7 linked regions of the Canis lupus familiaris genome follow. The protein of the gene in region 1 purifies or fractionates together with the protein of each later gene. This does not show direct contact. Links are inferred from orthologs where the notes say so. Each region holds a gene or a part of one and is shown in the gene's direction. Other genes may lie near its edges. The genes, in order: HDAC1, RUNX1, MIER1, E2F4, GATAD1, EED and PHB.

Region 1 (3,986 bases):
AGCTAATGGGCTTGGCTGTGTTCCAATAAAATTTTATTTACAAAAAAACAGGCAGCTAGTTGTATTTGGCCCAAGGGCCATAGTTTGCCTTTTCTGTTTAGAGTAGAGAGCTGGGAGAGGGAGAGAGCAGGAGAGGGAGTGTTGTGAGTTGAATGCCAGGCTAGTGAAGTTGTTCTTTATCCTGTAGAAGATGGGGAGTCATTAGGGGTTTTTGAGCAGGGGAATGGTGTTATTAAAGCTGTGTGTTAGAAAAATAACTGGTCAGTGTGGCAGATAGTTTTGAGTTGAAGACAGAGGAACCAATTAGAAGTCTATTGCTATAGAGGAAGCTAGAGATGATAAGAGTTTAGTTTTCTTATCTATACAATAGGAATAATACTCCTGTTTTACCAGGTTCTTGTGAGGATCCATTAATTTTTTTTTAAGATTTTATTTATTTATTCATAGACACAGAGAGAGAGAGGCAAAGACACAGGCAGAGGGAGAAGCAGGCTCCGTGCAGGGAGCCTGATGTGGGACTCGATCCTGGGTCTCCAGGATCACACCCCAGGCTGCAGGCTGCGCCAAACCGCTACGCCACCAGGGCTGCCCCTGAGGATCCATTAAGAAAGTAAATGTAAATGTGCTTTAACCCCATAAAGTGTTTTAATATGAAAGAGGTGAACTGTGACTTATAATAATTCTGAATAGTAATGGTTATTTTTCTGTTGTGGGAGTGAATTCTTTGCAGATACGGTGAGGTGAATCACCTTGTTGCCTGCTATTCTCCAGTAGCTTTGGAATGAACCGTTTTTACACTGTGTAGTGCCTGTCGGCTAGGCTTATTTTTTTTTTTAATTTTTTAAATTTTATTTATTTATGATAGGCACACAGTGAGAGAGAGAGGCAGAGACACAGGCAGAGGGAGAAGCAGGCTCCATGCACCGGGAGCCCGACGTGGGACTCGATCCCGGGTCTCCAGGATCGCGCCCTGGGCCAAAGTCAGGCGCTAAACCGCTGTGCCACCCAGGGATCCCATCGGCTAGGCTTATATCTTTAAGTGCTGGACTCACCAGAGTCCCCTGCTTTTTTTGTTTGTTGTTCCTGTTTTGTTTTGTTTTATTTTTATTTTGTTTTTTTTTGTTTGTTTGTTTTATTTTTATTTTGGAGTTAACTCTTCCTCAAGGTGGGTGAGAATCTTGGGGACTAGAACGAAAGAGAAAGAATATGATTAGGAGATGGTTATAAAAATTCCTGGATTCTCCTGGGAGTGTATGTCTAACTGTGTCACTGAAACTGTCACTCTTTTTTCTTCAGGGGATGTTGGAAATTACTATTATGGACAAGGCCACCCAATGAAGCCTCACCGAATCCGTATGACTCACAATTTGCTACTTAACTATGGTCTCTACCGAAAAATGGAAATCTATGTGAGTTACTGGGACCCCCACCACTCCCTAACCCCATCAGCTCTAGTTATGTTATCTCATTTTCTCAACTACTCATTCATCAGATGTGTCGAATGGGCTGTTATGTGGCAGACATTGAAAGAGATTTCTGTTTTTAAAGGGTTCGCTCCAGTGCTGGAGACTGACAGGTACACAAATAAATTGTACTACAGTCTGAGGGCGTACAATTAAATAATGTACAAGATACAGAGATAATGAAAAGTGAAGGAGGAAGGGAAGCCTTGGAATGTTTCCTGGAGGTACTATCTGAGCAGAATTTTAAATATTGAATAGAATTTAGCCAGGAGTTCAGGAGGGGACTGACATTCTAGACCAAGGGAAGAGTGTAAACAAAAAGGCAAAGAGGTAAGAACAGTATGGTGTGTTTGGGGAAACTATGAGTAGTTTCTAGGTAGTGCTATAGTGTAAAGGTCTCACGGGTGTGAGTAAAGGGACCTACAGTTGGAGAGGTCAGCAAGGATTGGATATGCTGTACTATGTAATAAGCAACTCTGATGGGCCAGGATTTAAAAAAAAAAATCCAATGCCTAAAAAAAGAGCAATTGGGACTATGTTGAGCTAGACAAGTCCCTAATTACTAGAGAGCATAGACTCTAAACTGCTTGACTCAGTTCCGTCTGATTTTTGCCCACCTACCGGTTTTTATTTTATTTATTTATTTTTTAAAGATTGTATTTATTTGAGAGAGAGAGCACAAGCATATGGAGAGGGATGCCTCCACTGGTGGTGCCCCCACCATCAGTTTTTAAAGAGAAGTTAGGGATCCATATTATTCTGTAATGTGGGGCCTGATCTCAAGACCTTGAGATCGTATTCTGAGCTGAACCTGAGAGTTGGACACTTAATTGATTATGCCACCCAGGTGCTCCAAAGATTTTTTTTTTTTAAAGTAATCTCTACACCCAGTGTGGGGCTGAAACTTCAACCCCAAGATGGTGAGTTGCATGCTCTACTGACTGAGCCAGCCAGGCATCCCCAAGTAATGGATTTTAAATCAAAGAGAGATAAAACAGGTATGCATTTTATTTTTATTTATTCTTAAAATATTTTATTTATTTATTGGGGGGGTGCAGCTGGGTGGCTCAGTCGGTTAAGTGTCTGCCTTCGGCTCAGGTCATGATCTCAGGATTCTGGGATCGAGCCCCACATGAGGCTTCCTGCTTCTCCCTCTGTGCCTACTTGTGCTTTCTCTCTCTGTCAAATACATTAAAAAAATGAATTAAATTTTAGAAAATAGAGTTAGTGGGTGGGAGGGAAAGGGAGAGAGAATTTGAAGCAGACCGCATTGAGTGCAGAGCCACACATGGGGCTTGATCCTGCAACCGTGAGACTATGACTTGAGCTGAAACCAAGAGTTGGATGCTTAAACCGACTGAGCCACCCAGGTGCTAAGTAATCTGCCCGGTATGGGGTGAAAACTCTCAGCCTCGAGATCAAGAGTCACATGTTCCACCAACTGAGCCAGTCAGGAGCCTCCAGGCATGCATTTTAGTAGGGAAGCCAGTTAGGCTGTTGCAAAGGTCCAAATGAGAAAATAAAGAAGGGCTGGGAGCCTATGTTGCCTTATGGTTAGAGCCTAAGAGTCTGTGGTTAAAGTCTGTGCTGGCAGCTTAAGTAACCTAGCAACAGCAGTATCCTTCCTCACCATTCCAGAGACTGAGAGGAGATGAGTCTTCTGTCTCAGATGGCCCTGTTATGTCCCTAGAGCCACTGGAGGCAGCTGGGGAAGCAAGGAGGGAAGGTAGACAGAGGAGCAGGCAGATGTGGGACCAGAGACCTTTGTCAGGTGTGAAAGGCATCTGAGAATGAAAAACATAAAAGGTAGCAGACAGAGGTTTTGAGGGACTCTAGGGAGTAGACTAGCATTTAGATAAAAAGAGGATACCTGAATGTGGAATAGCGAGCGCCGAGACCTTCCAGAGTTCCCTCTTATACATCTATACCTTGCTAATCTGGCTCTAGCTTGCCTCCTTTTCTGTCACTCCCCTCTCAGAACCCTCAGATCAGATTCTGCCTCTTTCTACCCCATCCTGACTGGGAGGATTACTCTGCCCAGTCATATTTTACTCATCTTCAAAAGTTACCTCAAGCCCTCTTTCTCTCTTTCATTCAGTATATATATATATTTATGATAGTCACACACAGAGAGAGAGAGAGAGAGAGAGGCAGAGACACAGGCAGAGGGAGAAGCAGGCTCCATGCACCGGGAGCCCGACGTGGGACTCGATCCCGGGTCTCCAGGATCGCGCTCTGGGCCAAAGGCAGGCGCTAAACCACTGCGCCACCCAGGGATCCCCTCATTCAGTATATTTTTGTTGAATACTTGTCATATTCCAGGAACTATATTAAACTCCATGAGTGATACTGAAGTATTAAAAAATGGATCCTATCTTCAAGTAAGGAAAAATAAATGAACATTTATTGAAGATTGCTTGGGTGGTAGGCCAGGGCTACCTGTTATTTTATATAATCCTTATAGCACCTTTAATTTATAGCTGAAGAAACAAGGTCAGAGAAGATGATTGACATGAACCTAAG
Region 2 (3,986 bases), on another chromosome or scaffold:
CGGGAGGAGGGCCGGCGGAGTCGCGCGCCATCGGGGGCGTTCCCGGGCGCCCGGGGCGGCAGCGAGGACGGCTGCTGCCCCCTGGCGTCCGCCCCGAGCCCGCGGCCCGCAGCGCCTCCCGCGGGGCCGGCGCCAGCCTCCCGGCGGCTCGGAGCGGCCCGTGCGGCCTCTCCGGTCCTGGGGCCAGGGAAGCAGCCCGCGCGCCCGGGAAGGGCCCCCCCCCCCCCCGGCTGGCCCGCCCTGGCCGACGCCTCCGTTAGGCCCCAGAGGCAGCGCCGAGGGAGAATCCGGCGCTTCGGCGCCCCCAGCACCCTAGCCGCGCGTCCGCAGCCGGGAAGGAGGCGGCGGCCGGAGGGGCCCCGCGGGGGGCGGGTGACGGACCCCTGCTCCGGGGAGCTGCAGCGGAGGGTCCCCTGTTGGGGGTGGGGATGAGCGCCCTCCCCCGGGAGACGGGCGGCCCCGCCGCTGGGAGTGGGGCACCGGGTGGGTTCCCCGGGGAGCCAGGGAGCCGCGGGGCGCGGGGGGTGGGGGTGGGGAACGGGCCCTGCGCGCCGGGGCGGGGCCCTCTAAGCTCCGCGAAAATGCCCGCGGCGCCGCGGGGACGGACGCAGGGGAAGTTCCCGCCCGCGCGCAAAGCCAGGCTGGGTGCAGCACCCCGGGCCGCTCCGGCGCGCGGGGGCGGGGAGACGAGCCAGCGCCGTTTCCGGGGAGCCGGAGGTGGGTGCGGGGCTCGGGCGACCTGGGCCCGGCGGTGGGCGCTCGCGCGGCCTGCGCGGGGGCCGCCCCAGCGGATGCTTTCAACTTTCTTCCCCGTCGCTGGCTGTTCGGGGTCGCCTTTCGGATCAGGACCCTCCTCTGCTCCCCGCGAAGCACAGCCCGGCGGAGCGCGGCCGCGGTGCGTAAGGAAGCCGCAGCCCAGACGCGGTGAAAAACACCGATGAAAGCAAACCGACCCGAGAGAGAAAACTAAAAACACAAAACCATGTTGTGGAGACCGAGAACCTTCTGGCCTCGTTAAATGAATCAGCGCCACTTCTCTGCAGCTGCCCCCACCCCCACCCCCATGGCTACGGTGGCGCGCGGAGCCGCTCTCCGGCCCCCTCGCGGCCGAATCCCACCCACGCTGGGGAAGCAGAAGCTCGGCCGTGGGTGGCCGCGCAGGACCCGGGGCCGCCCCGGGTGGGGGGGCGGGGGTGAGCTCCGGCGCCGGGCCCGGGAGCCTCGCGGCGGCCGCTGCATCTCCAGGGCGCTAGGGGCGCCTCCCCTCCGGCTGGGCTCCGGGCACCGCGCGCGGCCCGAGCCCTCGCTGCGCCGGCCGGCGTCCTCTCTCTCCGCGTCCTCGCGGGGCCGCGTGCGCCCCGGGGCGGGGCCTCGGGCGGGGGTGCGTGCGTGGATGCGGGCGCGCGGGGCGAGCGGGGAGGCCGGGCAGCCTGGGGCGCTCCGCGCGGGCGGCGTACAGTAGCGCGCGGCGGCGGCGGCGGCGGGGGCGCGCGGGCCAATTCCAGGAGCCCGCGGCCGCGAGCCGCGCCCTGGCTGATACCGGAAAGGCCCGTGATTGGCCGGCGGCCGCCCCTATGCAAACGAGCTGAGGGAATGGAATTCCTCGGGCCGGGCTTACAGTAAAAGCACGTTCATTTCCAGGCACTCTCATTCATAGAGCCAGCGGGCGCAGGGGCACGGGCGCCCCGAGCCGGACCAGCAGGGCACACGCCGCCCGGCCTCGCGCCCACAGGCACCGCGTCCCGGGGCTCCCGGGGACGCCACCCTTGCTGCTTCTCCTGGACCGCCGTTGGAGCTACGATTTTTTATTTTTTTCATTTTTTATTATTTTTTTCCTTTTTAACCTTTCTCTCTTACTTTTGAATGAACTGGCCTCTTGGCTGGATGTTTCAACTTCTTTCCTGCCGGTGAACTTTTTCCCCCGGTCGTTTCCTTTGACAACTGCGGGAGAACGTGTGCCGCGCGTCGAGGCGAGCCCGTGAAGTTGCGTGTGCGTGGCCCGTGTGCGTGGGAGTGTGACTGCGTGTGTAACTCGAGCCACCCCGTCTGTTCCGACCTGCGCTGCGGAGCCCACGCTCCAGGCCCGCTCCACCTGCTGCGGTTTCGCGGTGATCGTAGGTACAGGCGCGTCCAGGCGTCTAAGCCGAGGGCGCTGGGGCGACGTTGGAGGAAGATCAGCTCGCTACGGCCCAAGTCGGGCTGACTCGCCGAGCCGGTGTAGACAGTGGCTGGCTTCGGAAGAGTGCGTGTCTGCGTGCGTGCGACCCGGCTGCGGCTCAGCTCCCACCAACCACAGGATCAGCCACAAACTTAACCAACATCCCCAAACCCGAGTTCTCAGATGTGGAGAGCTGTACTCTGAGTGTCATCGACTTGGACTTTTATTATTATTATTATTATCATCATCATTTTTTTTAAAGATTAGCTTTTCTTTGAAAAGCTGAGTTTTCTGAACTGAGCGTTTTGCCAGAATTTATTAAGAGAACATGACAAGTATTTCTAGCCCAGCCCTTCTTCAACTACTGAAGCTTATTTTCAAGGCTACTTAAAAAAAAAAAAAAATCAGCAGCGAACATTAATGGATTTCTGTTGTGTTTAAATTCTCTACAGATTGAATTGTAAATATTTTATGAAGTAGAGCATATGTATATATTTATATATACGTGCACATACATTAGTAGCATGACCTTTGGAAGTCGCAGCTCTTGCTTTTGAGGACCGAAGCCGGTTTTGCATGATCAAAGTGGCTCTGTATATGGAAGACACTCGTATATTTTGTGTTGTCTTGGGACTTTAGGCAAAACTCACCTGAAAACAAAAACAAAACAAACAAAAAAACCCTGACAGGCGTTTAACTACTGGAACTTCCAAATTATGTATTGGCTGGCTCGTTTGCTCTGCGTATAAATATTTTAGAAACTGTATGGGAATTTTGCCTCCGGGAACTTTTTTTTTTTTTTTTTAAACAGCCAAAGACTGAAAGTTAAACTCTCAAAGCAAGACTCAGAAGATAGCCTCCCTTGGCATTTGACTTTGGATTCCAGTCGCCCGATTTTTTTTTTTTTTTTTTTTTTTAAAGCATTAGGCGATCGGTTGCTAGGAGCCCTGCCTGGGTCGGACGGAGGCTGCCCTGCAAAATAGAACTTTCCCCCTCCGGGACTGTTAGTGACTTCGTCTCCCGCCCGCCTCCCCCCAGCCCCCCGCCCACCCCCGCCCCCCCTGCAGCAATAAAGGGCCCCTGAACTTATATGTTGGTCTCCCTGGAGCTGCTCGCCGAGGATCCGCGCCCTCGTCGCCGGCTGGTAGGAGCTGTTTGCAGGGTCCTAACTCAATCGGCTTGTTGTGATGCGTATCCCCGTAGATGCCAGCACGAGCCGCCGCTTCACGCCGCCTTCCACCGCGCTGAGCCCGGGCAAGATGAGCGAGGCGCTGCCGCTGGGCGCCCCGGACGCCGGCGCCGCCCTGGCCGGCAAGCTGAGGACCGGCGACCGCAGCATGGTGGAGGTGCTGGCCGACCACCCCGGCGAGCTGGTGCGCACCGACAGCCCCAACTTCCTCTGCTCCGTGCTGCCCACGCACTGGCGCTGCAACAAGACCCTGCCCATCGCTTTCAAGGTACTCGGCCCGGAGCGGGTGGCGGGAGGACCGCGGAGGCCGGGGGGCGATCCGGGAGGCCCGCGGCCAGGCGGGCGGGGCCGGGTCCTCGGAAGGGGCCGGCGCTGCCCCCCGCGGCCCCTGGTCCATCCTCCTGCCCTCGGGACTCGGGGGATGCTCGGTTGCCCTGGCGATCCTGGGGGAGGGGGGGTGTGTGTGCACGGGGACGGGGGATAAAAACATCCGATTGCCCCCCAAAGACGTGCACTGAGGGCCGGTCGCGACCTCCCGGACCTCCCGGACCGAGGTCCTGAGTTTGCACAAAGTAGGCAAAGTTATACCCCAGCTCCCCCCCACCCCCCCACCCCACCCCGGCCTGCCTGCCTGCTGCC
Region 3 (3,986 bases), on another chromosome or scaffold:
TTTGTTGTTAGCTATTGGAATTGATTAGTCTCTTTTAGAAATTCTTGAAAGACTAGCATTTTCCTGGATTTCAGAATTCTTTTTGTTCACCTTTTAGGATTTGAGAATTCTTGATACAGTTCTCTAATAAGATAATCTCTATGGAATGAAGATGTGAATTACACGAATATAAAATATTCACCTATTCAGAAATTAACTTTTTATTTGGTTTATTTAGGAAGGAGACATGCCAATTCATGAACTTCTCAGTCTTTATGGTTATGATAGTACTATTCGACTACCTGAAGAAGATGAGGAGGAGGAGGAAGAGGAAGAAGAAGGTGAAGATGATGAAGATGCTGATAATGATGATAACAGTGGCTGTAGTGGGGAAAATAAAGTAAGAATATATACATTTATTAAGATTGTAGTCTTTATCTTTGTTGAAGTAAAAATTTCTTAATTTTGGAAGTCCTCTGTAACCTACTCCTGAAAAATAATAGTTTCATCTGTGTCATTCCAGATTTCTTTTGAATGCCTCTTCTAAATAAATTTATACCAACTTTAAAAAAAATACTACTGCTTTTTAAGTAATAAAAGCTAATGGATAGTTTGTATTCAATTTTTTAATTTTGTTTTGAAATAATTTTAGATTTATAGAGCAATTCAAATATGGTATAGAGTTTCTCTGTACTCTTCACCCAGTTTTCCCTATTTATTTATATCTCGTGTAACCATGGTATATTTATGAAAAGTAAGAATTGATACCATACTAGTTAAACTACGGGCAATTCAGATTTCACCAGTTTTTCCACTAATACCATACTGCATTTAGTGTATTTATTTTAGCCATTTAGTTTATTTGGAATACTGTAACTTTTCCTCTGCAACAATTTTCCTTACATCTTAAAGAAGTTTATTATTCTACAGGAAGAGAATATAAAGGACTCATCAGGTCAAGAGGATGAAACTCAGTCTTCCAATGATGATCCCTCACAATCTGTTGCTTCTCAAGATGCCCAAGAAATAATCCGCCCACGTCGATGTAAATATTTTGACACAAGTAAGTGTCATTAGTTGCTAATGTTTGGATAATTTTTACTAAATATATGATGTAAAATGGCACTTCTTTTCCATTCATCTGTTTGAATTCATTTTACTCTCAAATCTGGCTGAACAGTAACGTATTTTGTTCTGGGTTATTCATTTAGCAGTGTTAGGGCCTTGTTGTCTATGAGTAGATTGCAGAGATTGTTGTGTCACTACACTACTTGATTTTGAATGTGTTCCTTTTTTCCTTCCTCAACATTTCTTTAAATTTGTCTCATGACCATCTTTTTATTTCATCTAGTCTTTTCCTCAGTTTTCATTTTCTACTTTCTTTTCTCTTAGCCTTTTTAAGCTATATTCATAAGCATTGCTTTCTCTAATCAGTGGCTCCCAGTTCTCAAAAAACTGGCTTACTCTTGAGGTGGTAATATGTTATACACAGAGAACTCTTCTAATTTTACTATGGTTGTGATCTAGTCAGAGATCTGCAGTAGTTGAAACAACATTTAATGTATATAACTTGGATATTTGCATGCTTCATCTACTCCATGGTGTTTCATTCTAAGCAGGAATCATTACTATGGATAACAGCTCTTTGATAAGAGAAAAGCAACCATTAGTGTTATTTAAACTTGTTTGGATTTCTGTGCTTTAAAAGAAAGAAAAACATTTGAAGAACAATAACCTCTCATGAAATGTAGCGATCTAATAATTGATTGAACATGGCTACTGCTTCCTGTCAATGATTTCTGATACGTATTTAGTTTAGCAGTGAATGTAGTGCTGCTAATGATATTTTATTGTGAATTTTGATCAACGATTGATCCACTTAAAAAGCGTATCAGTGTAAGGAAAGATTACTGAAATTGTGTTAATATTAAGTTTGGGGAAAACTTGGTATTTTTCCTTTTTCTCTTAGGTAAATTGCCAAAGTTTGCTTAAAAGTGGGATGCTAAAAAAAAAAAAAAGTGGGATGCTAAGTGACTGCATTTTTAAAACAATATTTATTTCATACTTCTGATCTGGTATGTCAGTTATGATGTATGCACAGAAGCTCTATATATACTGCTTATCTTAGCTTTTCCATGGGAAGATTTAACTTGCATATGTAATATTACCCTTTTAAACTTTGTATTCCATTAATTTTTTTGTAGAAGATCATTTCCTGAGAATACAGTGTTCTAAGATTATCCTAGAAAGTTTTTATGGGTTATTTTGCTTTGTTTAAAACGGTATTATTTGGTCAGAAATATCTTAGTCCTATTCTGCAGATACTTTTAGGCATACTTAAATGTTTGATAGTAGATATAAAAATAATATACAGATGTGGATAGGATAAATAATTATTTTCTAATACTATCTTCTTTTATCTAGATAGTGAAATAGAAGAAGAATCAGAAGAAGATGAAGATTATATTCCATCAGAAGACTGGAAAAAGGTAGTTAGAGCCGTATTTTCCCAACATTTAGGTAAATTAATATTAAAAAGCAAGTATTATTTTACTAGCTGTATATTGGTATTGTTGAGGTAAGCCCTTTTGTGACATTTAAGTGTTTCAAATTTCCCCTTAATACATCAAGGTGAGAAAAATATTTTTTTACAAAATAAAATAATGGTATAGAAAGAATTTGACTTTTTTGAGCAAATCAGTCTCAAACCAAGAATAGAAATTGAAATTTTTAACTAGTGCTAATTTAGATATTTGGGAAAGCATTTGAGGCTTTGGTTTTGTTAAGTAGATTTTAGTAATTTAGATTTTTAATTATAAAAGTGTATGACTGTACAACTTAGTTATACAATTGAGTAGAAGAATTAATCTTAAGCTGTTACAAAGCAGTGGTACTAGGAAAATGTGTCAAAATGTCATGCAGAATTGATTAGAACAAATCATTTATATAGAAGAAATGAAGTCATTCTTACTAAGCTAGCTTACTCGATTTTGCTCTATAAAACTGCATTGTTTTGTTTTGTTTTTTGCTGTTCTTTTTCCTAGGTCTGATTTTAAATTTAGTGTATGAATAGTCATTTCTTTGGAAGCAGAGTAGCTCTGAACATCATGTTGAGTGGGCTTTCTGCACTTTGTTGTACTTGTTATTTAGTTAACACTGTTGAGTCTTTCCTGTGGCTTTTTTGTTGTTGTTGTTATTTGTGGTGGTGATAGTTTATAGTTTTTGGTTTGCCTGGAGCAGACTTATAAAAGAGCTGACATCGTTGCTGATTAAAATAAGGGAACATTTCATACTTACAGAGTTTCTATTAGGAAGAATGAAGTATTCAAATGAACTTGGACTGGACTGGGCTACCCAAGGATTGTAGTCTTCTGCCAGAATTGATCCATTTCTGGGGGTCCAAGGAGATGTTTAGAAGAGAGAGACTGTCTTTCAGTGTGTTAGAATGGTAAAAGAAGGTGTCAGTTAGAATGGGAGGGAAGGTTAGCCCTGTACAGTATGTATTAATTAATTTGAGTGAATGATGAATGAAAAATGAGGCTGAAGACCGAAAACAAGGGTCACAGAGTTACTGTTTATGTGACCCATTGGGTAAGTGTTCTTCACTTTTACCTGATTCCTACACTATGCAGCAATTATGAAAAAAGCTAGCAACCTTAGAAGTCATCTTAAACTGTTATAAATTCAAGTTTCTGTATCTTTTAAACTATTCCTTTAAACTTTATCTTCAACTTAAATTGTTTTTTGTGTCTAAAATATATAATAGATTATTTGAGTAGGTGTTGAATTATTATTTCATTTTTATTTTATTTTATTTTATTTTTTTTAATTTTTATTTATTTATGATAGTCACAGAGAGAGAGAGAGAGAGAGAGAGGCAGAGACACAGGCAGAGGGAGAAGCAGGCTCCATGCACCGGGAGCCCGATGTGGGATTCGATCCCGGGTCTCCAGGATCGCGCCCTGGGCCAAAGGCAGGCGCTAAACCGCTGCGCCACCCAGGGATCC
Region 4 (4,589 bases), on another chromosome or scaffold:
AGGGTGCTACTAGTGCTTCAGCTGTGGCCAACTCGGCTGGTAAAGCCACCCGCAGAGCCTCCAGCCACCCCTTCAGGGCCCCGGGCTCGAGCAGAAGAGGTGTCCCAAAGTGGGTTCTCTCCAGGCCCTCCTGTAATGCCTGCAGACAACGCTGCCGCCAGTCCCTGGGGGTCAGCTCCAGGGAGGGTGTGTACCCGGCATCGACTTCCGCTATGCGCACAGCAGCCACCAGCAGGGCTGGGTCCTCCCGTGCCAGCTGCCCTGCGGCCCCCGCAGCCACCTCCACAGCCTGGCCAAGAGCCTCAGCCAGAGGGCCCAGCGCCTCAAAGACTGGCAGCTCCAGGCCCCCCAGAGGTGCCCACGTCTCCTCTTGTAGCTGCTCCAGCTCCCGAAGGCACGCATATGCCTCCAAGAGCTGCTGGGCATCAATCAGGGTCCGTGTGTGGGCCACTGCTGCTGGCACTAGGAAGGGAGAAGATGAAACAGCCCTAAGTTTCAAACTTCCCACCTGTGCAATGGGCACAGCCATGGATACTGAGGCCCCTAGGGCTGGAGTGATGTGTAAAATGCATAATAACCAGGACAGCAGAGCACTGACCAATCTGAAAGGACCCAGAGAAGGGCCCAGAGGCCTACTGGGCCAGATATAAATTCTTGAGTTGATGGAGCAAGAGGAAGTCAGGGATCCTGGAGGCAAGGCAGGGAAGAACTCGTGGACCCTTGCTAGTGGCTATTTACCCATCCTATTAAGGAATCATTTCAATAACTTTGCAACCAGGGCGGTCAGAGCCACTTGACTGGGTCTCAGCCCTGAGTCCTACAACGCATGCTTGACAATCCCAGCATGAGCTGATTTGTATCCAGATTCCTCTGCCATCAGAAACCTGAGTCACTCTCTGGGAGGTCCCTGGGGTGTCCCTCCCATCTAAGGGTGACGCCCTTTGGTCAGTAATGGGCATGTACTGACTGACTGTTGAGGGGCTGAGGCCCAGGGCCCCTGCACACTCACCTGCCCACAGCCGGGGCAGCAGCTGAGACAGGACCTGCAGTTGCTTGTGCTGTGCAACCTGTTCCCGCAGCGGTTTTAGGGTCTGTGTGGTCTCTGCCAGATCCTGAAGCAACCCATGGGCCTGGCCAAGGGCCTCACGGGCTGCCTGCAAGGCCTCAGAAGCCTGGGCCAGCTGCCACACACCAATCTTCACGCCCTCCAGGTAGGACTGCACCACCGACTAAGGAGGGAGGCAGCCTGTGAGGCCTGGCCAGGCCGGCAGCCCACCCCCAGCTCTCCTTTCCCTTGACCAATGCCCACCTTGATGCGCGCTTCCAAGGAGCAGGTACGCTGAACCTCACGGCTGCGGTACTGGCTCAGTCTAGCCAGCTGTTCCGGCCGGTAGAAGATGCCCGAGGCCCATTTGAGTGCTGCTCCTCGGGCCAGCTGCTCCGCCCTCTCCTGCTCTGGCCACTCAGGCCCTGGGCAGGAAGAGCCTGGGCAGCCTCGTCAGTTGGGCAAGGCCGATGGGAAGTGGCCCAAACCTGTTCCCCTTCCTACTTCCTAGCCTGTCCCCCTAGGGCAGTCTGACCCATTCCTCTTGCTGCCCTATAGAGCACCGGCCAGACCTGGCAAGGAGGACCCAACCCCACCAATGCCATCTTTTTGGCCACCATCCCTCCCCTAGTCCACCCGGAAGGGCTCCTACCGGGAGGAATTGAGGGCTGCATTTCATCCTTGGTTGCTGAGTCCATGGCAGTCCTTGGAGGAGCTGGAGATGAGGTAGGAGTCGGGGCAAGAGCCTGGGTTAGAGTGGGCAGAATGGGTGCTCCTGTGAGCTGCAGCCTCGGTCTAGGCCCCTCTGAGAAGGAGGAGGGGGTTTCTTGCCCAGCCCCCTCAGGAAACGGGAGGACTGGGTTTCTCAGTTTTGCCCCTGCAGATGCCAAGTGAGGCAGAGCAGACTCAAGCCCCTGCTGGCCCCAGCTCCAGCTCTGAACTGCAGAGGATGGTTTAGTATGGAACTCACCAGGCTTGACCAGGCATCCAGTTCCTTCTCCTTTGAAAACACTCTTTGGCCTTGAGGATGGCCCTCTCCCCCAGTCCTCAGGGCAAAGCAGGGTATTCTCTTCACTGGCTCACGAGGCCTGGGTGGCTCCAGCCTACACCCCAGCATGCAGCAGAATCCTCCCCAAGGAAGCCTCTGTACCACCTCCCCTGCCCAGGAGCACCCTCCTCCTTCGAAGGCCCCTCCTTCCCCAAGGCCAAATGCCCAGAAAGGAAGGAAGCTGAGTCTCTGGCCCTTTATTCCCAACAGGAAAGTGCATCTGCATTGTGGGATGGGGTGGGGAGGGCTGGGCGCCACTTCCTTGGGGGGAGGGGGTGTAGGAGTCCTGCCCAACCCATCCAGGACCTCTTACGTCCTGTGCTCAGGACACAGACTCATGTGAACTAGAAGGCCCTAATTTGGGGTAGAGAGCAGTGTGTGCAAATATGGGTGCAGACAACATCGCAGTAGGAAAACTGTGTTGATGGCTCCTCAGAGGGAGGGTAGGCACCCCTGCAGAGAACTGAGAGGCTGTTGTGAGGAAGGTGTGTGGTGGGTGATGGTAAGAGAGGGGTAGGAGGGCTCTGAAAGCTGTGTTTGTCTTGAGAGTTACAGGGGGCCATGGAGAGGACCACCAGGTAGTAATAATATAGTGGATGCTGGTTACCACCCAAATCCACCCTGCGGGACCACGCCACTTCTTCCCCTAGCTGTCCGGAACGTAGGTTGCTAAGATGTCACAGCTGAGTCTCTCACTCAAAGTCAGGGCACAAAGGCCTGATAACCTTGTCTGGACATGGACCACCTTGGAAGGGCCCCACCTCGGTTTCAGGGCTCCTAACAGGATGGCCTGAGACCTCTATTGTAACTGCATCACAGTTTAATTCACCTTTCTCCTCAATTTTGCGTGTCTTACTCCCTTACAGATGTGGATCCTCAATAAACTTCCCTGCAGACAGATTCCTGTCTCAAAGTCGGCTTCCCAGAGATCCTGACCTAAAGTAAATGATAATAAATATTGATGGTATCAAACATAACAAAACGGTACTAGCCACACCTAACCCTTTCTACCTGCCAGGAACTGCTCTAAGTGCTTTACTGACATGTGCGCATAGGTAAGCATGTTTGCATTGGTGGGAAGATGGTTACAATTCCATGGTCTCTGGGTACTGCAGGGTGGGGACGAGAGAAAGATGAGGCTGGGATCAGGGAAGGGGAATGGGAGTGGACACAAGTGGGCCCGCTGTACCCAATGCTGGCTGTTTGGCAGGAACTGAAGGACAGCAATGGGGTCAGTTAAACCAAGACACTGGGACAGCTTCCAGGAGCAGGTTGGGGGAAACACATTGCGGTCATCAAGCAGCGTGGTCTCCTCTTCCGCAAAGGGGACAGGCTGGGTATGCCTGGAAGGTTCTAGCGGCTTTCCCTTCTCTACTGCCGGGGCTGCCCCCCTGACTTCCTCCACCTGCCCCTGGACCCTGTCCCCTCTCCCGGGATCCCCGGATTGTCTTCGTCCTCTTCGGCGGTTGGACATTTGCTGATGGTCCCCGAAGTTTTGCTGCCGTGTCCGCAGAGAGGAATTGCGCCGGGTTCCCTGGGAGGGCGCGGAGCGGAAGCGGAAACAGCGGCGCTGGCGCCGGCGGCCGGGTGGCCAGGAACGGAAGCGGAAGTGGCGGCGGCGCCGGCCTGGCCTGGCCTGGCTGAGGGGAGGCGGCGGGCGGGAGCGATGGCGGAGGCCGGGCCGCAGGCGCCGCCGCCCCCGGGCACCCCAAGCCGGCACGAGAAGAGCTTGGGACTTCTCACCACCAAGTTCGTGTCGCTTCTGCAGGAGGCCAAGGACGGCGTGCTTGACCTCAAGCTGGTGCGGCCTGGGCTAAGGGGCGCCCGGGAGGATGGTGGACCAGGCAGGCCCGGACCGGTAGTGGGAACCCCTGGGGCGGCCCCGCTGAGCCCTCGGAGGGCAAAGCGCCATCCGTGTGCTTTCTCACAGGCGGGAGGCCAGGAGCGGTTTCATTCATTCAGCCGGGGCCATTGGGCGTCCGCTCTGTGCCAGGCTCTGGGCTGCAGGCGGTGGTCCTCGTGGCCCTCCTCGGCTGGTGTGGGGACATCAGTTCAGACGGTGCCGGGCCTCCTCTGCCCCGCGGTCCCGAGCTGCTGCAGTGCCTGGGAGGGGGATTGGGACTCGGGCCACCCCTTTTCCAGAACCCTTCCAGACTAGGTCTCAAGGTAGCTGGGGGAACACCTGAGAGTGGGCCTGAGTATCCTGCACTCTGTTCTGTCTGCCAGGCAGCTGACACCCTTGCTGTGCGCCAGAAGCGGCGGATTTACGACATTACCAACGTCCTGGAAGGTATCGGGCTGATCGAGAAAAAATCCAAGAATAGCATCCAGTGGAAGTGAGTGGGGGCACCCGGGAGAGCAATGGCGTCTCCCACCCAGAAGTGGCAGGGGTGTGGGGAGGAGGACACAGGAGAGAGCAGGGGCCACGGGACCCAGAGTTCCTGGCAGCTCCTCTCAGCCCCACTCTCTGGGCTCAGGGGTGTGGGGCCTGGCTGC
Region 5 (4,659 bases), on another chromosome or scaffold:
GAAGGCCTTCTGAATGTGGTGTCAGAGCAGAAGTTGTATCTGCAGCCGGTCCAAATTATGGTTCCTCCGTTAGTCATCAGTCAACAAAATAAGGATAATAACTCTTTTCAAGGTGGTCATATGTACTAAATGTGATTTTGTGACATCATAGGCATTCAATACAGTTTATTTTTCTTTCTCTCGCTGAGGCATGCCACCAGCATATTCACTGAGATGCCTCCTAGTATGCCAAGTCTAGAAAATCCAGCATCCTGAAAACAGGTAGGACACTATGAAGTGAGGCTGAAAAGCAGAGACCCGTTTCTCTGGGGAGGCCTGTTCAGACCAGCGACTTGGATAAGAGGGGGGCTGGCTTGTCATAATGCTCTCATCCTAGGCCAAATCAGTTATTTGGCTTTCCACCCTCATGCTCTCAGCGGCCTACGGCTTAGAGGCTGCAGGACCTGGGATAACATCACCACCCAATAGCTAAGGAACATCTGCTTGACATCATCGTAGGCTTTCTTACTTTTTAAAGATTTTATTTGGGATCCCTGGGTGGCGCAGCGGTTTGGCGCCTGCCTTTGGCCCAGGGCGTGATCCTGGAGACCCGGGATCGAATCCCACATCGGGCTCCCGGTGCATGGAGCCTGCTTCTCCCTCTGCCTGTGTCTCTGCGCCTCTCTCTCTGTGACTATCATAAATAAATAAAAATTAAAAAAAAAAGATTTTATTTATTCATGAGAGACGCACACAGAGAGAGAAGCAGGCTCCATGCAGGGAGCCCGACGTGGGACTCGATGCCATGCCGGGTCTCAGGATCAGGAAGGCGGTGCTAAACCGCGGAGCCCCCCGTCCCCCCGCCCCGGGCTGCCCCATCCTAAATGTTTTAAAATGTGTCTCAACTAATGCATGAACGTCAATAGACACGACACATTCAGCACAAGTATCTGGGGGGTCTACACTGTAATCTTCAACAGCGTACAGGCGTCCTCAGGAGTGCCAGACTTCGCAAATAAAAACACAGCACCCGCAGTTAAATCTGAATTTCAGAGAAACCAAGAATAGTGCATGGGATACACTCATATCAAAATGGCACTCGTGGTTTCTCTGAAATTCAAGTTGAATTCGGCGTTCTGCATCTCCCCGGCCGATCCCAGACCTAAAGCCAAAAAAAAGCCCGCCCGCCCCTCCCGCAGAGGGAGACGGGGGTCCCCGCCACGGTCCGCTTCCGGGGAGCCCGAGGGGGCACTTCCGGTCAGAGGGCCGGGGCCGCGGCGCGCAGGCCCCACCCACCGCCGGAAGCCGCGCGGGCCAGGCCCCGCCCCCGGCCCCGCCTCCCGCCGCTGGGGCCGCCGCGGCCGCCGCCTGTCGCGGAGCGGGTGTCGCCGCCTTCCTGCCTCCAGGGGGCAGCGGCCGCCCTCAGGTCCCTGCGTGGACCGCTCGGCGCCCGCGCCGCTCTTCCTGTCGCTGGGAGTGGCGGGCCGGCCGGCGGGCGGCCCGAGCCGGCGGTCGCCATTCCCGTGTCGCTGCGCCCGCGGGGGCCGCCCGAGCCCGCCACGATGCCACTGGGCCTGAAGCCCACCTGCAGCGTCTGCAAGACCACGTCGTCCTCCATGTGGAAGAAGGGCCCGCAGGGGGAGATCCTCTGCCACCACTGCACGGGCCGGGGCGGCGCGGGCGGCGCGGGCGGCGGCGGCTCGGGGGCGGCCGGCGGGACGGGGGGCGGCGGCGGCGGCGGCGGCGGTGGCGGCGGCGGCGGCTTCGGCGCGGCGACCTTCGCCAGCACCTCGGCCGCCCCTCCGCAGAGCAACGGGGGCGGGGGCGGCAAGCAGGTGAGCTCCTCCGGGCCCCCCCGCGGAGGCCGGCCGGCCGGGGGGCGCGGTCCCTGCGGGGCGCGGTGACCCTGCTGGGGAGGCCCGCCCGCTCCCGCCTGGCGGGGATTGCGACTGTGTAGATTTGGCCCGGGCGGAGCACCTTCTATTATTGTGAGAAATTGAAAGTGTAAAGGAGCAAGAAAATTTAAGACCCTTCAGAAGTCCCCCCACCCCCACCCCCCCCCTCAGTGTAGTGACATCCGCGGTGGTAACCAGACATCTCACACGTGTACACACGTAAATAGGGCCGTGCTGCTGGACTGACTTCCCTGTTAATTTATTATGTTACTAAGTAAGATTATCGTGTCCTTGTTTTAAATGACAGCACGGTAAGTATCCCACTGCAGGAAGGGCCATACCCAACGTGCTCCCTGGGGTCGGAGAGTTCTCCTGGACTATAAACAACAAATAAGTAGTCCTCCCCTTGCCCTGGACTTCCCTCCGACGCCTCCCCCAGGCCCTGTTGTAAGGAGTTGACACCTTTTTGGAGGCTCTGCAGATGCTTGTCTAGGGCGCTCCCTGTTGTAATCAGCCCAGTCCCGGAGGTACTTTTTCCCAGCGGCAAAAGAAAAGGCACATTCTTGGGTGGTTTTGAAAGGTCAGTCAGCGTAAGGGGCTTACTCTGGAGTCCCCGGAAGATGGTTGAATGGGGACAGCAATCTTTCTACGACTTTGATCTTTTTTGTTCTTTAATTGTTTCTGTAACAGAGTAAGCAGGAAATTCACAGAAGGTCTGCTCGGCTGAGAAACACTAAATACAAATCTGCTCCAGCTGCTGAAAAGAAAGTTTCCACCAAAGGAAAAGGGAGAAGACATATTTTTAAATTAAAAAATGTAAGATGATTGTGGACAGTGTCTTTTACAGTAATGGCCTTGTGTGTGTAGTGTGTCCTGTCACTGCCTTCATCTCCCATCTGAACTTTTGCTCTTCCGGGGCCTTTCCGCAGTGTCCTGGGGGAGTGAGTGGTCCACACTTGCTGGAAGGAAGTGAGCTCTGTTGCAGGAGGTATACATACTATTTATAGTTAATAATATCCTATTTTTTTAGCTTTTTTTTTTTTTTTTCCTGCTGGGAAATAAAAGGTTTGAGTCTGAAAAAAAGAAACATAAATCTTGAATGCATTTTATAGGGTCCTCCATGCAAAGGAAGAGGTGGGATTATGGTTCTTGATAAGGCCAGATATATTAGGGAAGAAATTTTTTTTTTGATTCTTTAAAGATCTAAGTAAATAATACTGGAACTCATTCATTTCCACATTTGTTTATTACAGCCCCAGAAAGTTTACGATAATCAATTTGATGAATGTGAATCAAAAATTTTGCTAAACCTTCTGCTGCTATAAAAAAATAGATGGTTGGAAGATGTGTGTGTGGGGCGGGGGAGTAGTTGAAAGTGCCTTTTGTTGCATGGAGTTCTCAGTATTTTTGTAAACACAAGAGGAAAATGGCCATACACAGTGGGCAGTGCATTATAGACGACTTTTTTTAAACCTCAGTACGGTGTTCTTTTCTTTCAGAACAGGAATGCTTCCCTTACCACTAAAGGAAGTTCTGAAGTTGGGCATATTCCCTTGTAAAACACAGAGGGGCCCTGTGGTAAATTATTATTATTATTTTTTAAGATTTTGTTCATTTATTCATGAGACAGAGAGAGTGGCAGAGGGAGAAGCAGGCTCCATGCAGGAGCCCAATGTGGGACTCCAGGATCATGCCCTGGGCCGAAGGCAGACACTAAACCGCTGAGCCACCCAGGCATTCCCCCTGTAGTAAATTCTTGTGCAGATTGCAGATTCTTTTCTTACTGAAAATAGTTGCCCCTAATTTTTTTTTTAAGATTTTATTTATTCATGAGAGACACAGAGAGACCGAGAGAGAGAGAGAGAGAGAGAGAGAGAGAGAGAGAGGCAGAGACACAGGCAGAGGGAGAAGCAGGCTCCATGCAGGGAGCTCAACTTTGGACTCCAGGATCACGCCCTGGCCGAAGGCAGGCTCCAGAACGCTGAGCCTCCCAGGGATCCTCCAGTTGCCCCTAATTTATTTAAGACTTTTCTAATTTAGTTTTCTTAAAATGAGACACCTGCTAACAAAGCATGTTAAGTCAACGTGCGATTGATGATAGTTGCATCACCACATGTTTCCCTCTGTGGTAGAATATGCTCTGCAGTTATTTCAGTAGCTATTTCTCTAGCAACCCCTGTCTTCAAGGATGATACCAAGACACATTTCGGGAGGCCTGGTTTTTGTGTTGTGACATATAAGCATGTACTGCAGCTTAAGAAGGGATTGCTGTAATGGGTGGGTGGTGGTAAATAACTAAGAACTGCCAAGGAAGTTGCATATAGTCTTAGTTCAGCTTCCCTGGAACATTTCCTCTGATGACAAGGGTCCCAACTAGTACCGTAGTTGAGATGGAAAATGTCTTCAAAGAGATACTTTTCCACAGGATGCCTGAGTGGGTCAGCCTTTGCCTCAGGGCCTGATCCTGGAGACCCGGGATCGAGTCCCACATCGGGCTTCCTGTGTGGAGCCTGCTTCTCCCTCTGCCTGTGTCTCTGCCTCTCTCTCTCTCTGTCTCTCATGAATAAATAAATAAAAATTTTTAAAAAGACACTTTTTCCACCTTATGTTAATTTACACATTCTTTTATGACTTCCATTCCGATCATGGCCAAGCCATCAGAGCTGGCATATTGTTTATAACTAGAATGTTAATATGTAATAAAGCTTTGAGAGCCCTTGTAGATCTCAGTGGCATAGTCAGAAGCTTGTACTTTGGTTCTTAGCAATTTTTAAGCCGATGGTAG
Region 6 (3,631 bases), on another chromosome or scaffold:
AAAGAGAAGAAAAATGGGGGGAAGTGTTGTCCCCTCCCTAATCTTCCTTTGGCCCTGCTTTTGAACCATTCATATGTTAGTGAAACGGGCAGAGCTGCAACATGTGGCTGTGTGGGCTGTGTCCTGTAAAACTCCGGAAAGCTCTCTACCAACAGGAATTTCTCAGTCCAGGTTCTGTTGAAATACTGGGCTACACAATCTTTATTTTTAATGGGAGGGGCCATCCTGTATATTGATTGTAGGATGTAGCAGCATCTCTGGCCTCTACCTGCTAAAGGCCAGGGACATTGCCAAATGTTCCTTAATTGGCACACCACTGACCTATAATATGAATAGTGCCCACTGTGTTGCAGTTTTTTTTCAGCAAAGATACTATGTTACAGAATAAGAAAAGTATAACTTAGTCTATTTCAGTCGTATCCCCATATCAATGTCTTGATTTAAACCACTGAGTTTATTACCTTCTATATAATATGATTTTTAAGGCCTCTAAGCAGGGGCCATACTGAAAAGCATATTTTTGTATAGAGTTTTTATAATTTTATCGTTTATAATTTTATAAATTATAATTTTATATTTTATAACATATAATTTTATATATATATTTTTTAATTTTATATTTTATATTTTATAACAAATGTTATAAAACACTCAAGTCTCTGGATGCCAGAGTATTGAGAGCTGAATTTGGTTTGGAAAAGAAATTCTGACTTCAAAATGGATATTCCAGATAATATAATGCTTTTTAATATTGTCAAATTCTGTTGTAAGATGACCTCTTATCCTCAAGTGTGGACCTTGACTCTGTAAATATAAATAAATGTATATCACTGTATCTACTAGATGGATAACCAGGTCTTAAGACTGTCAATTCTAAAAAGATAATAGAGAAAAGAAGGCTTTGTTTTAAGTTTTAAATTTCAGTTCTATATGTAACAATTTTTTCTCATTTCTGTCTTCTAAAGTCTTGTGAAAATGCCATTGTGTGCTGGAAACCTGGCAAAATGGAAGATGATATAGATAAAATTAAACCCAGTGAGTCTAATGTGACTATTCTTGGGCGATTCGATTACAGCCAGTGTGACATTTGGTACATGAGGTTTTCTATGGATTTCTGGCAAAAGGTAGCAACATATTTCTACATTTTAAAATTACTTCAGACCATTGTAATTTCACTTTTCTCTGTTGTGCATCCATGTTCAGTTTCCTCTAAGAATCTACCTTGATATCTTGTAGTGATTGATTACTTTAGCCGTTGATGTTATTTATTCTATCTTTATAGAGTAGGCTCTCCACACCATTTGCAGTGCGTATTATAAATGCAGTTGACAGGTGTCAATCTTGGCAATGGTGCTTACTTTCCATAACATCTGTTACTAAGATTTAATGTTATGGTGATTGAATGTTAACTTTTTAAATAGCTTTTTTGTAGAAAAGCTTAGAGAAATTTTAGAGATTGGTGTTATGAATTTGTAGTAACAAATTATCTGGGTATTTATTTCTATAAGAAAACTTTGGAGGAGCTGTCTGTAGCTTTTGCTACAATGTAAATTGTAAAGTCCTTCATAAATTTGCCTTCTAATTTGCTCAGGATGCCTCTGAAGTATAAGTTGCTGTTATCCATTTACGAATCAGAAGTATAAGATACAAAGAAATAGAAATAATCAGGAGTATAGCCATAGTCTGGAACTGAGGTTTTTATGAAATATGAATATATCTTAGGAATATTTGAATGCTCTATAGCCTATTTTAATAATTTGGTGTTTTTAAAAATACGTTTATACAGATGCTTGCATTGGGCAATCAGGTTGGCAAACTTTATGTTTGGGATTTAGAAGTGGAAGATCCTCATAAAGCTAAGTAAGTATTTAGAAATTTTTATTGATAATTTCTGTCTTTTTCTCAAACGCTATGCCAATATTTAATTTATTCATGAGAGACACAGAGAGGCAGAGACACATAGAGGGAGAAGGAGGCTCCGTGCTTGGAGCCTGATTGGGACTCAATCCCAGGACTCCGGGATCACAACCTGGGACGCTCAACCATTGAGCCACCCATGGATCCCTTGAAGTATCATTCTTAAATCATTTTTAACATTTATATGACTCAGTTATTTAAAAATATTTTTTATTCTCATAATGGCTGTTTATCATGAGTACTTTGGTGACAAGTTACACCTTTCTTTTTATTAATTTAAAATATACCCAAATGTTATGAAATTAGAGATTGAGCTCTTAGTGATATTTTAAATGCTTTCCATATGACTTGGAACATCTGTTTGTTTTCTTATTCGTTGGTTTAATTTGCTACTGACAATATTTATGAATGGCTTTTAACCTATTGTCTTGTTTTTTCCTAGATGTACAACACTGACTCATCATAAATGTGGTGCTGCTATTCGACAAACCAGTTTTAGCAGGGATAGCAGTATTCTTATAGCTGTTTGTGATGATGCCAGTATTTGGCGCTGGGACCGACTTCGATAAAATATTTTTTCCTTATCAAAATTAGAGTGTGTTTTCTGTGTATAATAGAATTAATGTATCTTGCTAGTAAGGGCACATAGAGCATTTAGAGTTGTCTTTCAGCATTCAATCAGGCTGAGCTGAATGTAGTGATGTTTACATTGTTTACATTCTTTGTACTGTCTTCTGCTCAGACTCTACTGCTTTTAATAAAAATTTATTTTTGTAAAGCTGTGTGTTTATTTTCATTGTGATAAAAAGAAATGTTGAAAGTAATAAAAGTATTCCCTTTCTTTTTTGTAATGATCATTTTTGTAGTCCTTTTAACTGAAGAAAGCTATATAATGTAGTGATTAAGTGTAAGCTCTAGGATTAAGCGGACTTTAGTCTTGGCTCTGCAAACATGAGCTGAGCTAAGTAATTTAACATCTACCTCAGTTTCTTCTTGTGTGAAACAGGGATAAGAATACCTACCTCATAGGGTTATTAAGGATCAAATGATTAAATAAGTGAAGCAGCTGGAATAGTACTCAGATGTACCCTAAATACATTGTTGCTTCTTTTTTATAAAGATTTCATTCATTCATTCATTTATTCGAGAGAGATCACAAGCAGGGGGAGTGGTAGAGGGAGAAGCAGACTCCTTGCTGAGCAAGGATCCTAAAGTGGGACTTGATCCCAGGATCCTGGGATCATGACCTGAGCCAAAGGCAGACGCTGAACTGACTGAGCCACTTAGGGACCTCATTTGTTACATATCAGACATTTATGTATCAGACATTATATTTCAGACATTGTATTTCCTAAGTCTTTGTGTTTCTTCTATAATAACTTTATAGTAATTATATTTAAAAATCTGGGGAAGCCTGGGTGGCTCACTGTTTGAGCATCTACCTTTTGTTCAGGTTCTGATCCCGGAGTGCCGGGATCGAATCCTGCATCGGGCTCCCTGCCAGGGGCCTGCTTCTCCCTCTGCCTGTTTCTGCCTCTCTCTGTCTCTCATGAATAAATAAAATATTTTAAAAATAAATAATAAAAATCTGTAGAGTTGGAATACATAATGAATTAACTGAGCTGTCTAGTCAGTTAAAAAATACTATTTGGTTTGTAGCTAGACCATTAGTAACCAATGGAAATATTACCATTAGAGCAAGTGAGAGACATGG
Region 7 (4,525 bases), on another chromosome or scaffold:
GAGGATGCCCCTATTCTTAGAAAATACACAGAGATAAGATGGGAAATGAGAGAGAGAGAACAAATTAATGGAGGAAAGATGTTAGGGATTGAAGCCGACAGCCAAGAAAGAATTCTTACTACATCTTTGGATATATGAAAGCACAGGGGCAGGACCTGTGGGCAGAAAGAGCTGTACTGGGGTCCTGAGGAGGGGCCCATTATATGCTTTCAAGTTGGGAGGGGGTTAGGGATAGCGTGCGTCTCTATGGAATTTTGGAAGCAGGGTTTCCAGGATCTTGAGGGGGCTGCCTATTGTTGGGAAAAGTCATCTATTATTGTCTAATAAACCCTTAGTCATGAGACCCTTCAGATGTGTATCGGTGGGTCATATGCTTGGGGAATGATTGCCAGCACATATCTTGGGGAGGGGGGAGGGGGGAGAAAAAGGAAATTTCCAAAGGAATTTTTATATGTTAAAGTAGATTTACAGAGTCCTGGGGGTGGAGCTAAGATTCCCTTTTGCCCTTAGCAAAGTATTAAGATGGAGATAGTAGAGCTCTTAGAGGAACATCACTCTGCCTATTTTAAGGACTTATCAATGGACTGCAGGTAGTAAGGAAATTTAATAATTTCTCTTCTGCTTTTGTTACCCACATCACAAATGATAGAATATATGAAACAAAACGTTAGCCATAGATGAATGTAAGGGATATATGTGTTGTTTTATTCTTGCCACTTTTCCATTTTTTTTTTTAATAGTGTACAGGGAACACAGGACTCTAAGCCCAGCCCCTTTGCTAAATTGGTGCATGACCCTGAATGAATCCCTTCCTCTTTTTCTAGAACCTCTTTTCTAAGGTAGTCTCTGGCTGTGGTAACCAATGTCCCGCGACTCAGGACACTTCCTGACAAGGCTTTGGAAAGGTGGCCCCGTGTGCTTCCCCTCAAGGTCTCTAAGCCCACCAGTTATCTACCTACAACTTTCCCCAGGGTGTCCACCCGTCCTCCTTCGTCAGCCATAAACCTGTCCCAGCCCATCCCTGCCGCCACCATCCGCATGCCCAGCGACTCTTCCGAGGGCCCTAAGGTCCACCTTCCTGCAGGCTCTAGCACAGGTTCAGGACAAGCACGTGCATTTATCCCCAAAAAACTACAGCCCCCAAAAGGCTTTGCGACAACCTTTCGACGTTACCCACCAAAGAGGAAAGGCTTTCCAGCGCGGGCCCGACATTAAATGGCTCTTTGGGAATTGTAGTTCATTTGCGAAGACCAGGGGAACCAGGGTGAGGCCGCAAGCCACCCTTCCCAGAATGCACAGCGCTCTTTCCCACCAATCGGAGGCCCGGATCTTGGAAAGGGGGCGGGGAAGAGAAGGGGCTGCCCAGCGCATGCGCGGTACGTGTGGCTGGGGAATTCATGTGGAGGTCAGAGTGGAAGCAGGTGAGAATGGAGGGAACGCGTTCGGCTGGTGTTCGGGCGCCTCTGCAGCTCCGCTCCGCGTTCCCGTTCGCAATTTGGGCGGGCAGGATGCGTGCGTCGGTCTGCCTCGCGTCGGAGGGGAGGGGGGTGAGCCCGGGACCAGCCAGGAATTGCGTCGTGTAAGGGAGGCGTGCATGGGGGCGGGGTGAGGAATAATCCAGAAGCTGTTGGAAATGGAAAAGCTGAGAGGTCCGAACTGTGTGTCCTGGCCTCAGGTTAGGAACAGTGAAGCACACCGGGAGCGATCAAGAAAGCCTCAGATCTGAGAGGGAGGGAGGGGGGAGGATTTGAATCTAAGTGGACGACGACGCTGGGGCGGGGCATTAATAAAGTTGTGTGCGGGAGTAGATTGAAGTTAGGTCCGTCGTGACCTTAGCCCCGCCCTCTCCCTTGCAGTGCATCTCTGGAGAGCCTTTTTGCCCCATTGGTTCTTCCGGTATCTTGGTCCCAGGATGCTCCCCAGATCCTGCTACCATCATAGCAAATCATTCTTTTTTTTTTTTTTTTTCTTCCCAAGACTTTAATTTCATGAGACACGCACAGAGAGAAGCAGAGACACAGGCAGAGGGAGAAGTAGGCTCTCTGCGGAGAGCCTGGTGCGGGACTGGATCCCAGGACCCCGGGATCATGACTTGAGCCAAAGGTAGACGCTCAACCAGTGAGCCCCCCAGGTGCCCCATGGCAGGTCATTCCTAATACTGGAGCGGAGAAATACTCCTCACAGTATGGTGAGGAGTTAAGTCATACCTACCCTAGACTTAGACCTCCAGGTTCTAGTCCTGGTTCCACTACGAAATGGCTTTGTGATCTTCCGCTTATCTTGTAAGTTTGCTGTGTGCCTCGGTTTCCTCATCTGTAATAACCTGCTTCATAGGGTTTGGTGTGAGGGTTAAATAATTGCCATTAGAAGACTGCCTCCTGGTATTAAAGGTAGCTGCTAGTGTCACTTATGCTGTTGGAATCACCATGTAGCACATTCTTTGAGTTACTTTTCCAAACCAGAATTGCACAGACCCTACCATATACAACCTTCGTCTTGGGGCCCACTTGTCCAGGAAGTGGAAGGGTGGTTTAGTGTGGTGTGAAATTCTCTGTGGGTAGCAAGCCCATACCTCATTCCTGTTATTGAATCAAGTGTCCCCAGACCCCTTTTCCTTAGTGGTAGAAAAAGAAAGAAGAAATGGAAAAATTTTGAAAGCAGAGGAATTAATACTGCACTTTTCCAAGCTGTAGAGTTATTTATTAGATGTCCCTCCATGCGAGATTTAGAGCTTTGAAGAATGGGGAAATAGGGGCACCTAGGTGGCTCTGTTGGTTAAGGGTCTACCTTCAGCTCAGGTCATGATCCCAGAGTCTTGGGTTCGAGCCCTGCATTGGGCTCCCTGCTCAGCGGGGAGCCTGCTTCTCCCTCTCCCTCTGACTGCCTCTCTGCACAATTGTGCACATGGTTCTCTCTCTCTGTCAAATAAATAAATTCTTTTAAAAAAAAAAAAAGTGGGGAAATAAATAGCCAGTTTGAGAAGTGAATATGGTGTCTCAGGGCTTTCTCTTAGAATTTTGAGATCAAGATGTTTTGTTTGTTTTGTTTTTATCCCATAGGTGTGAGTGGGTCCAGCAGAAGGAGATATGGCTGCCAAAGTGTTTGAGTCCATTGGCAAGTTCGGCCTGGCCTTAGCTGTTGCAGGAGGAGTGGTGAATTCTGCCTTGTATAATGGTGAGGTACTGGGGGAAGGGAGTCACTGCCCTTTGTCGGAGGATTTCTATTGGCTTGCACAGCCGATGTGACACTCCTGGTGGCCACCACTGTCTGTGAATATGTTTGTGACCCAAAGGGTCACCTGCTGCCATCCTACACCATATGGTTGCATTGTCACTTGAGCCTCTGTCCTGTAGCCATTGGTTCTCTCACAGCCTCTCTTCCCAAAGAGCTTCCCAGCCTACTTGTTGGTTAAACATTCCCAGTTGCTCTTACAGGTTTGAAGTGATGCTGCAGCACAGTGTCAGGATCTCACTGGTGTGAGGATTAAATAATTGCTGGCTAAATTAAATAGATTAAATAATCTCACTGGCTAGCTGAAATGGAGATCTCACGTATCCCCTTCTGCTTTGTGTGGTCACCTTTGGTGACCTTACCTGAGCAGGAACTTTTACTCTGCTGCATTTGGATCATTCCAGACAAAATACCTGCATTGTCCAGCCTGTTTTTTTTTGTTGTTGTTGTTGTTTTGTTTTGTTTTGTTTTGTTTTAAGATTTAATTTATTCATGAGAAACAGAGAGAGAGAGAGAGAGAGGCAGAGACACAGGTGGAGGGAGAAGCAGGCTCCATGCAGGGAGCCTGATGCAGGACTTGATCCCAGGCCTCCAGGGTCACGCCCTGGGCCGAAGGTGGCACCAAACCCCTGAGCAACCTGGGCTGCCCATTGCCCAGCTTTTAACAGTGAGGCAGGAGCTTAAGCTGACTTTTCTTCTGTGACCTTAGGCAAGCCATTTCCCCCTCTCTAGGTCTCAGCTTCTTTTTTGGTCAAACAGTAAGACTCAACTGGTTTTACCTCTAAGACTGCTTCCAACTCATATTTTCTGACTTTCATGGTTGGGAAGCAGCAGTAGATTGATCTGCCTCATGTGTGACTGTCTGGCAAGAGGAAGATTACTTTTCAGAGTGAAGATATTTGGAGCAACTCTGAAGTCTAATAAGGCAGAGACAGCAGCTGACAAGAAAAGCTTACTTGGTTTAAGTGGCACAGCTCTGTGCTCTGTGCTATCTTTGTAGCCACTCTGCACAACTAGACAGTAGTCACCATCATTAATTTCTTTCTGAATCAAAAGAACAGCTCTGTAATCCCTTAAAACCTGAGAGAAACCAAGCTCTTGGAAAGAGTGGGACCTTCTGCATTTTAGGATTTCCATGGTGAGGGTGCTTCTTCTGGGAACACTGACTTAAATTGGAACCAGGATGGAATGTGGTAATGGTGAAGACTTTGGTGAGTTTTGGAAGGAAGTTTTAGGAGGTGATTTCCTGAAGATTTGTTGGAGGATGGGATAGTTAATCAAAATCAGCAGCCAG

The links.
Region 2: the proteins of HDAC1 (region 1) and RUNX1 purify together in Homo sapiens (affinity purification with western blotting; 4 studies listed by BioGRID, with this or other methods). This does not show direct contact. The link is inferred for Canis lupus familiaris from reciprocal best matches to the Homo sapiens genes HDAC1 and RUNX1.
Region 3: the proteins of HDAC1 (region 1) and MIER1 purify together in Homo sapiens (co-immunoprecipitation; 8 studies listed by BioGRID and IntAct, counting the BioPlex papers as one, with this or other methods). This does not show direct contact. The link is inferred for Canis lupus familiaris from reciprocal best matches to the Homo sapiens genes HDAC1 and MIER1.
Region 4: the proteins of HDAC1 (region 1) and E2F4 purify together in Homo sapiens (affinity purification with western blotting; 4 studies listed by BioGRID). This does not show direct contact. The link is inferred for Canis lupus familiaris from reciprocal best matches to the Homo sapiens genes HDAC1 and E2F4.
Region 5: the proteins of HDAC1 (region 1) and GATAD1 purify together in Homo sapiens (affinity purification with mass spectrometry; 5 studies listed by BioGRID and IntAct, counting the BioPlex papers as one, with this or other methods). This does not show direct contact. The link is inferred for Canis lupus familiaris from reciprocal best matches to the Homo sapiens genes HDAC1 and GATAD1.
Region 6: the proteins of HDAC1 (region 1) and EED purify together in Homo sapiens (co-immunoprecipitation; 4 studies listed by BioGRID and IntAct, with this or other methods). This does not show direct contact. The link is inferred for Canis lupus familiaris from reciprocal best matches to the Homo sapiens genes HDAC1 and EED.
Region 7: the proteins of HDAC1 (region 1) and PHB purify together in Homo sapiens (affinity purification with western blotting; 4 studies listed by BioGRID, with this or other methods). This does not show direct contact. The link is inferred for Canis lupus familiaris from reciprocal best matches to the Homo sapiens genes HDAC1 and PHB1.

Annotation. Positions count from the first base shown.
Region 1 is NC_049223.1:68,324,280-68,328,265, reverse strand, and holds part of HDAC1 (histone deacetylase 1), read left to right. Parts: intron 1-1,296; coding exon 1,297-1,409; intron 1,410-3,986. UniProt on the Homo sapiens protein: Histone deacetylase that catalyzes the deacetylation of lysine residues on the N-terminal part of the core histones (H2A, H2B, H3 and H4).
Region 2 is NC_049252.1:29,932,267-29,936,252, reverse strand, and holds part of RUNX1 (runt-related transcription factor 1), read left to right. Parts: intron 1-3,361; coding exon 3,362-3,615; intron 3,616-3,986.
Region 3 is NC_049226.1:43,893,176-43,897,161, reverse strand, and holds part of MIER1 (mesoderm induction early response protein 1), read left to right. Parts: intron 1-217; coding exon 218-379; intron 380-909; coding exon 910-1,042; intron 1,043-2,403; coding exon 2,404-2,468; intron 2,469-3,986. UniProt on the Homo sapiens protein: Transcriptional repressor regulating the expression of a number of genes including SP1 target genes. Probably functions through recruitment of HDAC1 a histone deacetylase involved in chromatin silencing.
Region 4 is NC_049226.1:82,760,576-82,765,164, reverse strand, and holds the start of E2F4 (transcription factor E2F4), read left to right. Parts: upstream 1-1,546; 5' UTR 1,547-1,697; coding exon of another isoform or gene 1,698-1,791; intron 1,792-2,015; coding exon of another isoform or gene 2,016-2,162; exon of another isoform or gene 2,163-2,288; intron 2,289-2,959; 5' UTR 2,960-3,148; intron 3,149-3,257; exon of another isoform or gene 3,258-3,303; 5' UTR 3,304-3,573; coding exon 3,574-3,894; intron 3,895-4,319; coding exon 4,320-4,429; intron 4,430-4,570; coding exon 4,571-4,589. Other genes in the region: EXOC3L1 (exocyst complex component 3-like protein), read right to left, coding at 1-462, 1,010-1,229, 1,310-1,485, 1,698-1,791, 2,016-2,162. UniProt on the Homo sapiens protein: Transcription activator that binds DNA cooperatively with DP proteins through the E2 recognition site, 5'-TTTC[CG]CGC-3' found in the promoter region of a number of genes whose products are involved in cell cycle regulation or in DNA replication.
Region 5 is NC_049235.1:17,995,928-18,000,586, forward strand, and holds the start of GATAD1 (GATA zinc finger domain-containing protein 1), read left to right. Parts: upstream 1-1,449; 5' UTR 1,450-1,541; coding exon 1,542-1,814; intron 1,815-2,564; coding exon 2,565-2,690; intron 2,691-2,803; coding exon 2,804-2,862; intron 2,863-3,373; coding exon 3,374-3,452; intron 3,453-4,659. UniProt on the Homo sapiens protein: Component of some chromatin complex recruited to chromatin sites methylated 'Lys-4' of histone H3 (H3K4me), with a preference for trimethylated form (H3K4me3).
Region 6 is NC_049242.1:13,356,820-13,360,450, reverse strand, and holds the end of EED (polycomb protein EED), read left to right. Parts: intron 1-965; coding exon 966-1,124; intron 1,125-1,786; coding exon 1,787-1,860; intron 1,861-2,359; coding exon 2,360-2,486; 3' UTR 2,487-2,695; downstream 2,696-3,631. UniProt on the Homo sapiens protein: Polycomb group (PcG) protein. Component of the PRC2/EED-EZH2 complex, which methylates 'Lys-9' and 'Lys-27' of histone H3, leading to transcriptional repression of the affected target gene.
Region 7 is NC_049230.1:25,485,897-25,490,421, reverse strand, and holds the start of PHB (prohibitin), read left to right. Parts: upstream 1-1,384; 5' UTR 1,385-1,421; intron 1,422-3,059; 5' UTR 3,060-3,086; coding exon 3,087-3,174; intron 3,175-4,525.